Linked DNA regions of Arabidopsis thaliana. The protein of the gene in region 1 interacts with the protein of each later gene in a pairwise test. Each region holds a gene or a part of one and is shown in the gene's direction. Other genes may lie near its edges.

What was found.
Region 2: the proteins of ABF3 (region 1) and SNRK2.3 interact in a protein complementation assay, tested with the Arabidopsis thaliana proteins (one study listed by BioGRID).
Region 3: the proteins of ABF3 (region 1) and SNRK2.2 interact in a protein complementation assay, tested with the Arabidopsis thaliana proteins (2 studies listed by BioGRID, with this or other methods).

The regions. Positions count from the first base shown.
Region 1 is NC_003075.7:16,293,542-16,297,374, forward strand, and holds the start of ABF3 (abscisic acid responsive elements-binding factor 3), read left to right. Parts: upstream 1-1,792; 5' UTR 1,793-2,466; coding exon 2,467-3,354; intron 3,355-3,506; coding exon 3,507-3,800; intron 3,801-3,833. UniProt on the Arabidopsis thaliana protein: Binds to the ABA-responsive element (ABRE). Mediates stress-responsive ABA signaling.
Region 2 is NC_003076.8:26,708,701-26,712,300, forward strand, and holds the start of SNRK2.3 (sucrose nonfermenting 1(SNF1)-related protein kinase 2.3), read left to right. Parts: upstream 1-1,601; 5' UTR 1,602-1,634; intron 1,635-1,719; 5' UTR 1,720-1,996; coding exon 1,997-2,170; exon of another isoform or gene 2,171-2,507; coding exon 2,508-2,582; intron 2,583-2,675; coding exon 2,676-2,777; intron 2,778-2,850; coding exon 2,851-2,904; intron 2,905-3,004; coding exon 3,005-3,097; intron 3,098-3,210; coding exon 3,211-3,303; intron 3,304-3,384; coding exon 3,385-3,489; intron 3,490-3,565; coding exon 3,566-3,600. UniProt on the Arabidopsis thaliana protein: Together with SRK2D, key component and activator of the abscisic acid (ABA) signaling pathway that regulates numerous ABA responses, such as seed germination, Pro accumulation, root growth inhibition, dormancy and seedling growth, and, to a lesser extent, stomatal closure.
Region 3 is NC_003074.8:18,742,466-18,746,298, reverse strand, and holds the start of SNRK2.2 (SNF1-related protein kinase 2.2), read left to right. Parts: upstream 1-2,141; 5' UTR 2,142-2,394; coding exon 2,395-2,571; intron 2,572-2,801; coding exon 2,802-2,876; intron 2,877-2,975; coding exon 2,976-3,077; intron 3,078-3,153; coding exon 3,154-3,207; intron 3,208-3,302; coding exon 3,303-3,416; intron 3,417-3,604; coding exon 3,605-3,697; intron 3,698-3,816; coding exon 3,817-3,833. Other genes in the region: LBD28 (LOB domain-containing protein 28), read left to right, coding at 701-1,297. UniProt on the Arabidopsis thaliana protein: Together with SRK2I, key component and activator of the abscisic acid (ABA) signaling pathway that regulates numerous ABA responses, such as seed germination, Pro accumulation, root growth inhibition, dormancy and seedling growth, and, to a lesser extent, stomatal closure.

The DNA.
Region 1 (3,833 bases):
GCAATGAAACAGAAATGCGAGAGACTTAGTCAAGTCATGACCAAGTCCTTAATCGTATCTTGGATTGGGCTTGCGCAGACGTTTGGGCCGAACGTTGATGTTGGGCTGAATGTCCTCATCATGCTATGCCTCATAACTCATTCCTCAAAGCTTTCTTCTAATCATAATTTATTTGTTTTTTGTTTTTTTAATTTGCATCGTGAGGTCTTCTTTTTGATCCAATCAATGGACCTCTTTCTAAGAGTTCAACTACTCTTAACAACTTTAGGTCTTCTAGACACATAGAAAGTAATAAATATATATGGGCATGACACTAAGGTTTCATTCTTTTTCTTTATTGTGGTTTAGGTTTTTGATCTAATTTTGTTATTGTAAGAATTATTTTGTAATTTTGTTATTATCTTACCATGGAATTAAGAAAAAGTAAATTTCTTCAAACTTACCCTGTTGTTGCAACTTACATATTAAACTCTCTCTTTTTTGTTAAAAAAAGGTTATATATCTTTTAACCTTCTAGGATTTTAGCCTAGCTGAAAAAAAGTTACACATTAAACTTGTTTTTGTTAACAACGTTTTAGCATTTCGGTTGTGTGTTGTTTCTTCCGGTTGTTATAGTTTCGTACTTTCGTTGGTTTTGAGTTTTGGATTCTTGAAAGGTGGTTATAATTTATACATTTTGTTTCTACACGACCTTAAAGAAGTAACTTCAATTAATTAAATCTAATTCGGGAAAGAGCACGTCTCAAAAGAGTCGTCGAGTCCCATGTGAATTCTATATGATAACATTAAACAAAATCACGGTTCCATATTTGTTTAATACTAGTATGTATTGCAGAGTAGACTTTCCTAATCCAGTAGATTCTTAAAGAAAAAATAATATAAAAAGATTGAAAATAGAAATAAAAGATGGGAGACACGAAGGGTCACTTGTATTGTACCGAGTCCAAATGTAAAGAAGTCTCAATAATGGTGTAATAAAATAAAGAAGTTGAAGACAAGATCACAATCACCATGTGAAGATCAACACACAAGATCATAATTTTATTGTATGTTTGCTTCATTTCAACTTTTTTAAATATTGTTAAGAGGGCAGGCATTGAGTGCGCCACGTGGCAAATGACCATCCCTTTGTAGGTGCAGCAAACGTGATAAAGATTCCGGACTGTTCACCCATTCCCTTCTTCCATTTGTTTCTTATTTTTTCTTACAAATCTTATCGTATCATAATTTTTTTTCCATAATGCGCTCCCTTGAATGGAATAACGTTGGTTATTTTGTTTCCAACCAAATTTTCATACCATTCGATCAAATAGGTGCATCAACTTACAAGAAATGAAAGTGTGATCCCTATTTTATTAGGTAGCTAAGTAAGTGTTAGTGAACACTACGTTAGATTGTTACTCAAATAACGGATCAACGAATCTCGTATTCATTACTATACTGCTAATGAATGCATCAATTTTAATTTTTATTGGTTATCTATCCTTAAAAAAAAGTTATAAGAATATTTTGATAATTTGTTCCAAGATGTAGTACTAGTAGTAGTACTTGGTCTCGTAAACGACGACGCCGTTTAGGAAATCAAACGGCCAAAAATGCTTCCACTTTGCGAAATTTTATTGGTGGGAAACGCAAATGTATCGATAATGATTTAAAGAAAAAGCGGCGTTTCTAATTGGACCACGTTGCCCAATCTCTACGGCTCACGCACGATCTGACGTCAAATTGGCATAATACTATAATAACCTTATCGAGAATAAAATAATAGTCGCATCCAAACAAAAGAAACCAACCCTTTTATATCACGACGAGTGTCACGCCATGGACACTTGTCCATCTCTCTCGCTCTGACCCCTTTCAGGTATCTTTTATTTCTCAAAGAGGAATTATTGATTTTCCATTTCCAAAGAAAAAAAATAAATTCGAAGGTCAGGAAAATTAACAAAAAACTTCCTTTTTTTTTTTGTTAGTTTGTGTGACTGAGCTGCTTCATTTTTTTTCTTTCTTTTTTTTTTTGGTTTGATGAATCGATTTTTGTTGTCTATTACTGATTGGTTTTCTTGTTCAGATTCACTGATTCGAAGAGAATCATGATTTTTTTTTCCCGCTGAATAATAAGCATATGATTGGGTGTTTTGGAGATTTGTTTACTGATTAAAAGGAGATTCCTTTCCATTTTCACCATTTGCTCTGTTTGACTTCATTGTGCTTATATTTCATTTAGATCTTTTGTTTGGGTTTAGCTTTGGAACTGATAAAAATCTGATTTTGTCTCACGGCTTTGGATTTGGTTCTTAAATTTTGGTACTTTAAAACTGGATAAAGATCAGTGCTTTTTTAGATTCTTCGTTTGTTGATGAATTTATGGATGTATGTATAATTAAACCATAATCTCTCTGCTTGTTTGTTTTCTTATAGGTAAATATCCAGAAGCTTGATCCTCCTAGTTGTACGAAAGCTTGAGTAATGGGGTCTAGATTAAACTTCAAGAGCTTTGTTGATGGTGTGAGTGAGCAGCAGCCAACGGTGGGGACTAGTCTTCCATTGACTAGGCAGAACTCTGTGTTCTCGTTAACCTTTGATGAGTTTCAGAACTCATGGGGTGGTGGAATTGGGAAAGATTTTGGGTCTATGAACATGGATGAGCTCTTGAAGAACATTTGGACTGCAGAGGAAAGTCATTCAATGATGGGAAACAATACCAGTTACACCAACATCAGCAATGGTAATAGTGGAAACACTGTTATTAACGGCGGTGGTAACAACATTGGTGGGTTAGCTGTTGGTGTGGGAGGAGAAAGTGGTGGTTTTTTCACTGGTGGGAGTTTGCAGAGACAAGGTTCACTTACCTTGCCTCGGACGATTAGTCAGAAAAGGGTTGATGATGTCTGGAAGGAGCTGATGAAGGAGGATGACATTGGAAATGGTGTTGTTAATGGTGGGACAAGCGGAATTCCGCAGAGGCAACAAACGCTGGGAGAGATGACTTTGGAGGAGTTTTTGGTCAGGGCTGGTGTGGTTAGGGAAGAACCTCAACCGGTGGAGAGTGTAACTAACTTCAATGGCGGATTCTATGGATTTGGCAGTAATGGAGGTCTTGGGACAGCTAGTAATGGGTTTGTTGCAAACCAACCTCAAGATTTGTCAGGAAATGGAGTAGCGGTGAGACAGGATCTGCTGACTGCTCAAACTCAGCCACTACAGATGCAGCAGCCACAGATGGTGCAGCAGCCACAGATGGTGCAGCAGCCGCAACAACTGATACAGACGCAGGAGAGGCCTTTTCCCAAACAGACCACTATAGCATTTTCCAACACTGTTGATGTGGTTAACCGTTCTCAACCTGCAACACAGGTGACTAAAGAACCTAAGCTACTACATTTTGTAGGAAATACAATCATCTGAAAAATATTAGACGTAGCCTTCATGTTTTAAGATAAGCTGGTTTTGGATATGCATGTATGTTTCAGTTATCTGAGCATGACTTGTTTTTACTTTTTTCGCAGTGCCAGGAAGTGAAGCCTTCAATACTTGGAATTCATAACCATCCTATGAACAACAATCTACTGCAAGCTGTCGATTTTAAAACAGGAGTAACGGTTGCAGCAGTATCTCCTGGAAGCCAGATGTCACCTGATCTGACTCCAAAGAGCGCCCTGGATGCATCTTTGTCCCCTGTTCCTTACATGTTTGGGCGAGTGAGAAAAACAGGTGCAGTTCTGGAGAAAGTGATTGAGAGAAGGCAAAAAAGGATGATAAAGAATAGGGAATCAGCTGCAAGATCCCGCGCTCGCAAGCAAGTGAGTGTTTGTTTAAATTTTGGAGATTAAAGA
Region 2 (3,600 bases), on another chromosome or scaffold:
TAAATTAAAAAGTATGAATAATCTATCTTTGTATATCCGCATTTACATTTTTTTTTGTTTCTGGAAAAGTATCGATCCTGTTATATATACCTAAAGTTTAAAATGCGAAATAAGAAACAAAAAGAGTTTAGTTTATGAAAACATTATCATAATGATACCAAAAAGGCTAAGGAAAAACAAATTACAAAAAGGCTACATCATTTTTTAAAAGAGAGTGTGTGCTTCACATATAAACAAGGAAACGCATATAATAATCATCAAGTAGCTAGATGAAGCTAAAGAAGTAGTTAAGTGTGAATGCTTGGCAATTAAGATTGTGTTGGTTCATTTATTAACAATCTTTGACCACTCACTAATTTATTTTTGGCTCTCTCTTCTATATCATCACCGTTTTATCTTTATAAACCATCCCTCAAGACTCTCCCAATATTACATGATGTGTTTAATCCTCACGAATTCGCATGAATCAAAACCGGCTGAAAAACAGATGTAACATTTAAGTTAACATACTCACACCAATCTAAATTATTAGACTTTCATTCACTTTAACACATTTGTCCATACCATGATGATCATAACAATCAGTAGCTAAATCAATGTGAGTGTGGCTTAGATATTTGATCTGAATGATTCATGAGAAACATGGATACTTAATGTTCATGTGCATGTGCATATAATAGTATATTAATCTCACCAGTAGGATGCTTAGTATAGCAATAAAGAGAAGGTGGTGAAATTGATGAGCATCGGCCATTAAATTAAGCACTGACCCATTAATTGCGCACTTACCCATAAACACCATTCACTCCTTTTCATTAACTTAAGAGTAAAATTATACATACACCTCGCTATCTCTAACACTAGTCACACTAGTGTACCTTCCTCGGTACTCTTATCAATGTCTCGTGTCGCAATAAATCCATATAAAGATTTCTAACTAGGTCAATCCAACATCCAATTTAATACAACAGTCCTTAGTAGATTCTAATTTAAGTGTGTCTCTATATATATATGGACCGACAAAATCAATGACCTAAGATTTGACTATATATTTCATGCAAATATGATAAAATGCTATTCATCCAATTAATCATCAATATTGTAATTGGGCTGGCCTTTTGCTTATATCTTTAGGCATTTTCTTTAACAAAATTAGAGCCAGGCCCATCAATTAAATTGAAAAATGCTTAGAAGTTGTCACGTCACTGTCCATGTCATCCATGGTGGGATTGGGCTGGCCTAAAGGACTTTTCTATGTAAAAATTAGAGGCAGGCCCATCAACTAAATTAAAAAATGCTTAGAAGTTGCCACGTCAGTGTCAATGTCATCAGTGTCTATTTCTAACGCCGTCAAGTAACGGAATAACGCAACCGAATATTCTTTCATCACATGGCCGCTTCTGCAGCACGTGACTTTCAAGCTTCTGTTTTCCTTATGAACTAAGTTTTTCTGTTTCCTCCAAACTATTTTTTTTAATTAGAATATCTTGTTATTTATAACGAATATATCTTCTTCTTTTACTTATTTTTAACACAAATATTTATTTGTTTGATACGAATTCTCAAAATGAGAAAAACGAAGAAAAATAGAAAAAAATCGAAACGGATAAATACAGAGAATTTAGAGAAAAAAGGTTTGTATTTTAGGAGACAAGGACGAGTGAAGTCGTGCTTTTTCTTTTTTTATTTCATGTTAATTTTAATATTTTTGGGTTATAGTTTCTTAGGAAGCAACATCAATCATCAAAACGCGGCGGCTCTTGTCGTATCAAAGCAACTGAACGTTGTCGTTTTGGGACAATCCTTATCTCTTGGGGCAACCAATTATTGCCTTTTTTCTTCCTCTCTTTCCTTATTCGTTCTCTTCTTGAAGATATTTTTCCATTTATTTTCTCGAATCTTCTTCTTCTTCCTAGATTCCAGCGACTTAACAACAACAACAACAACATATTCTCTGCTGGGTATTAGATTCGAATTTCTCTTTTTGTGATCAGAAATGGATCGAGCTCCGGTGACCACAGGACCGTTGGATATGCCGATTATGCACGACAGTGATCGATATGACTTCGTTAAGGATATTGGTTCTGGTAATTTCGGTGTTGCTCGTCTTATGAGAGATAAACTCACTAAAGAGCTTGTTGCTGTCAAGTACATCGAGAGAGGAGACAAGGTTTCATTTTTAAAAATCTCATCTTTTTCTATTTTTGGAAGTTGATGATATTTATTTAGTCCAGTGATCGTTCATTTTTAGTGTTTGGTTTAGCTTTCACTTTCCAGATTTATTGGTTTCGTACTTAAAGTTAGCGTTTTTAGATTTTGATGATTATGCTTTTGAGTGCTTTTAATGTGATTTTAAAGATGTGAGCTTCCTAACACTTGAATGATGATTTTAATTTGTGATTTATGTGAAATTTTGGATATTGAAATGATTTTTTTAGTTGGTTTTGAGTGTTCTGCTTTTGTAGATTAGGACAGTTGTGAATGACTTGTAACTATGGGAGTTGCAGATTGATGAAAATGTTCAAAGGGAGATCATTAACCACAGGTCACTAAGGCATCCTAATATTGTCAGATTTAAAGAGGTAAAATTTATACACTTTTCTTCAGTACTTGTCTTTTTGGAATTTGTTAAGCCAGTGACTCTTTTAAACTCTGTTTCTTGTACTTGAGGATAGGTCATTTTGACGCCGACTCATCTGGCTATCATAATGGAATATGCTTCTGGCGGTGAACTTTACGAGCGGATTTGCAATGCAGGACGGTTTAGTGAAGATGAGGTTTGTATTTGGTTCTCTTATCGGGTTTACAGGTCTCCGGTTTCCTTATGGTTTGATCTCTTCTTGTAAACAGGCTCGGTTCTTCTTTCAGCAGCTTCTATCTGGAGTCAGTTATTGTCATTCGATGGTATGTAGAGAATCTGTTTCATGGAGCCTATGGACTGGTTGTATTCTTGTTTTTTTCTAACTTGTTGTTAATACTCTACTTTTTTTCATGTGCTGTGAAGCAAATTTGCCATCGTGACCTGAAGCTAGAGAATACATTGTTGGATGGAAGTCCTGCTCCTCGATTAAAAATTTGTGATTTTGGATATTCAAAGGTATCACAAATGATTTTGTTCTTTTGGTATCAGAAACTATACACTTGTGGTTCCTCCATTGTCATGTTCAAATGTGTTTTTAAAGTGTTTGCTTATGCATTTCTTTTTGACAGTCTTCTGTTCTTCATTCACAACCAAAGTCAACTGTTGGTACTCCTGCATACATCGCTCCAGAGGTACTGCTTCGTCAGGAATATGATGGCAAGGTAAAGGCTTTTAGAGAATTCCTCTGTAATCTCTGTATTTCTAAGGATGAATAGCCAATCATTGAGTGTTACGGTTACCAGATTGCAGATGTATGGTCATGTGGTGTGACCTTATACGTCATGTTGGTTGGAGCGTATCCGTTCGAAGATCCAGAAGAGCCAAGAGACTATCGGAAAACAATACAGGTAACCGCTTAAAACGTTGTTCCTTTTGTTCATCTCTTGATGTTCCTCTTATTCTCTTAATGATTCTGAAACACAGAGAATCCTTAGCGTTAAATACTCAATCCCTGATGA
Region 3 (3,833 bases), on another chromosome or scaffold:
TAACTAACCTGAATATTTTTTGGTACTATATAAGTAAAATTGCGTGGTAGGAAATTTTGACCTAAATCTGTGTTGATCAATTTTAGGTTCTTTCTCAAAACGCATTTTACAAGTAGGGAATAGAATTTGAAGAAGCATTGTGTTTAGGTTAAAAACTGAATCTCTCTATTCATCTTCCTTTTTTATTTTCATATAAATACCGATTTGATTTCATTTTATATCCATTCTTTATCTCTATTAATATATAGGGTTTAGAAATCAGGTGATATTCGCTTGATTAGATTCATCTTCTTATTATGCATTGAGGTTTGTGTTTTCATCTTCACACCTTCTCTAACATATTTGAGTGCAGTACAACGCAATCCACGATTTTGATTGGCTATTCTGATTACTATATTATTTAGAAACCTTAATCTCTTTACTGTTTAGAATTCACATAAAAATTCGTAGGTTGTGATTTTTTTTTTTCAGTTCGTGTATAGACCTAGGCATACGATTTTCCCTTTTGTTTTTGTTTTTTTCATGTTTCGGATTTTCGTGTTTAAGAAAAAGATTCTGTAAATATGTTTGTTTGATTCAGTTTAAAAGGAAAAAATTACATCATGTATTTCGATATATCCTATATTTAAATGTATTTTGTATATATTCTAGAAATGATCAAAAATGTACAATTACATTTTCTTTCTTTCTTTCACAGATTATGATGTTTCATCAAATGGACAAAATATCGACACCATGCGCGGCATGCAAGCACCTGAGGAGAAAATGCACAGAAGATTGTGTGTTTGCGCCTTACTTCCCCTCGACTAAACTGGACAACTACGAAGCGGTTCACAAGGTATTTGGAGCAAGCCATGTGGCTACACTTATCAACAGTCTTCACCCATGCCAAAGAGAATTTGCCATGGACACGCTCGCTTGGGAGGCACAAGTTCAAGCCAATGATCCGGTCAATGGCTGTCTGGGTATCATTTACAACCTCCTTAGTCAGATTAAAGACTTGGAAGAACAACTCGCGATCGTCAAGAACGAACTTGCCTCTTACTGTATCGTCCCCACATTTGTGCCACCACCTTCGATGACGAATCTGGAAATGCATAACAATCCTATGATGATACCGGAACACACACCTAATAACGGTGGTTGTTTAACGGGTCAACAGTTGTATAACGAGGCTCAACGTTTTGCATCCACACAAAGCGCTCAAATGCAAGAGACGCAGATGCAGCACGATGAGGAGAGTTACCGTGACAAAAGTTCTTATCAAAAATTTGGACCATGCTTTAACCTACATTAATCATTATCATATTGAATCTTGATAACAATGGTAAGCTTTTAAAATCTTTTTAAGTCTTGTCTAGTCGTTTGTATAACTACATTAAGATATAAATACAATTATTGTTTTTAGTTAACAAAACATCCGTTATCGTCCAGCGGTTAGGATATCTGGCTTTCACCCAGGAGACCCGGGTTCGATTCCCGGTAACGGAGCTTTTTTTGGTTTTTAAGATTCGAAAAAGTACTTTTTGCCTCATCACTATCTTTACGTTAATAAACTCAGCGGCAGTTCAAGCCGTAAACCTTAACATTTCTAATCAGGATCCTTAGTCAATTTGATTATTTCTTTTACAAATACTCCAACATTCAACAAGGACCTTGTGTAGAACTACACTCTGCCATAACAAAATAATAAAGGTGCACTTGTAGTTATGTACAAACGACTAGACAAGAGTTATAAAATTAGAAAAAGGTTAATGTAACATTGCTGTGTACGTGAAAACGTCTTATATGATCTATAAGAAGCTTTTTTTTGTTCGTGACAAAAACAATTTCTGACTTGGCTCAAAATACGACCACAATCACCCACATAAAGTTGGGATATTTTGGAAGTAAACAAGTACAAGTGAAGGTAAAACAATACATATATACATGAGACATTCACATAATTAATTTAAGAAAGACATAACAATTTACTCACCTCACAATTCGTACTCATTCAATTACAAATTTTAGGAGCAACCAAATTGTGTTGATAATATAGAACAGTAAAATTAATATTGATACCTAAAAAAACCAAAAAAAAAAATATTTGAAAAAAAAAAAAAAAAAATCACCAAAACGCGGCGGCCTTTGTCGTATCAAATCAGATAACTAAAACAAAGAAAACGGTGTCGTTGCAAACATCTCTCTCCTCTTATCTAACTTAGAGAGCGACCAATAATTGCCTTTGTCTTTCTCATTCGTCGTTGATCCATCTTTTTCCCCCAAATTCATATCCTTCCTTAGATATTTTTCTCCTTCTTCTTCTTCTAGATTCCAGCTACTCCAGAAGATTCTTCGACTTAATCTGATGTGATTAGGAAGAGCAATAGAGGAAGAGAAGAATCAGAAAAAATGGATCCGGCGACTAATTCACCGATTATGCCGATTGATTTACCGATTATGCACGACAGTGATCGTTACGACTTCGTTAAAGATATTGGCTCTGGTAATTTCGGCGTTGCTCGTCTCATGACCGATAGAGTCACCAAGGAGCTTGTTGCTGTTAAATACATCGAGAGAGGAGAAAAGGTTTCGTCTTTTTTTTTTTGAATGAAAAAAAGATTTGATATTTATAGGCTTTAGTGATTGATTGATGATCGATTATTTTTAGTTTCCAGATTTAGTAGCTTTCCTTTTTAGAGCTTGTTGATCTAGTGTCTTTAATGGTGGTTACTTACTGTTACTATGATTAAATGCTTTTGAAAAGTTTTGATATTTCTCAATAAATGATGATACTTTTTTTTATGGTTGTTTTGCAGATTGATGAAAATGTTCAGAGGGAGATTATCAATCATAGATCATTGAGACATCCTAATATTGTTAGGTTTAAAGAGGTATAATATAATACACCTTGATGTTTCTTCTGTGTGTGTTTGTGTATTAAGTCAGTGTGGTTTAGAGTTTGTTTTGTGTGTGTTTTTGTAATGGTTTAGGTGATTTTGACGCCTTCCCATTTGGCTATTGTTATGGAATATGCTGCTGGTGGAGAACTTTATGAGCGGATTTGTAATGCCGGACGGTTTAGTGAAGATGAGGTTTGGATTCTGATTTATCGTACTGTGTTGTGGTATTGATGTGTGACTACTGATCTTTAAGTTTTTTTATGTATAGGCTCGGTTCTTCTTTCAGCAGCTTATATCTGGAGTTAGCTATTGTCATGCAATGGTACGCAGAGCAGTGTTCTTGCAACTTACTTGAACTTTTCTCGTTCTCGTGTATACCACTCTGGTTTTAATTCTGTGTTTGATTTTCCTGTGAAGCAAATATGCCATCGGGATCTGAAGCTGGAAAATACATTGTTAGATGGAAGTCCGGCACCTCGTTTGAAAATATGTGATTTTGGTTATTCCAAGGTACTATTTATTTCTCTCAAGGTTTGTTTTCTGAATTCTAAGTTTATATATGCTACTGTATGGCCAAGCGCAGAACAGCGGGGGACATCTTGTGATTCCTCGTTGTGCTTCTTATCGTTCATGCTCTTTACCTACATGTGTTTCCTACTAAGTGTCTGTTTTCGCTTTGATTTCTGCTCAAGTATTAACTATGCGTTTCTTTTCTTCAGTCTTCTGTTCTTCATTCCCAACCAAAGTCAACTGTTGGTACTCCTGCATACATTGCACCAGAGATTCTTCTTCGACAGGAATATGATGGCAAGGTAAGGCCATGAGACCAATTCCTCTGTCTAGAGTTCAAACCAGCTTATCCATATGACTGTTTATACCACAAATATTCTTTGAGTTGTCCTCTGAAATAGCTGGTGTTACATTTTTCCAGCTTGCAGATGTATGGTC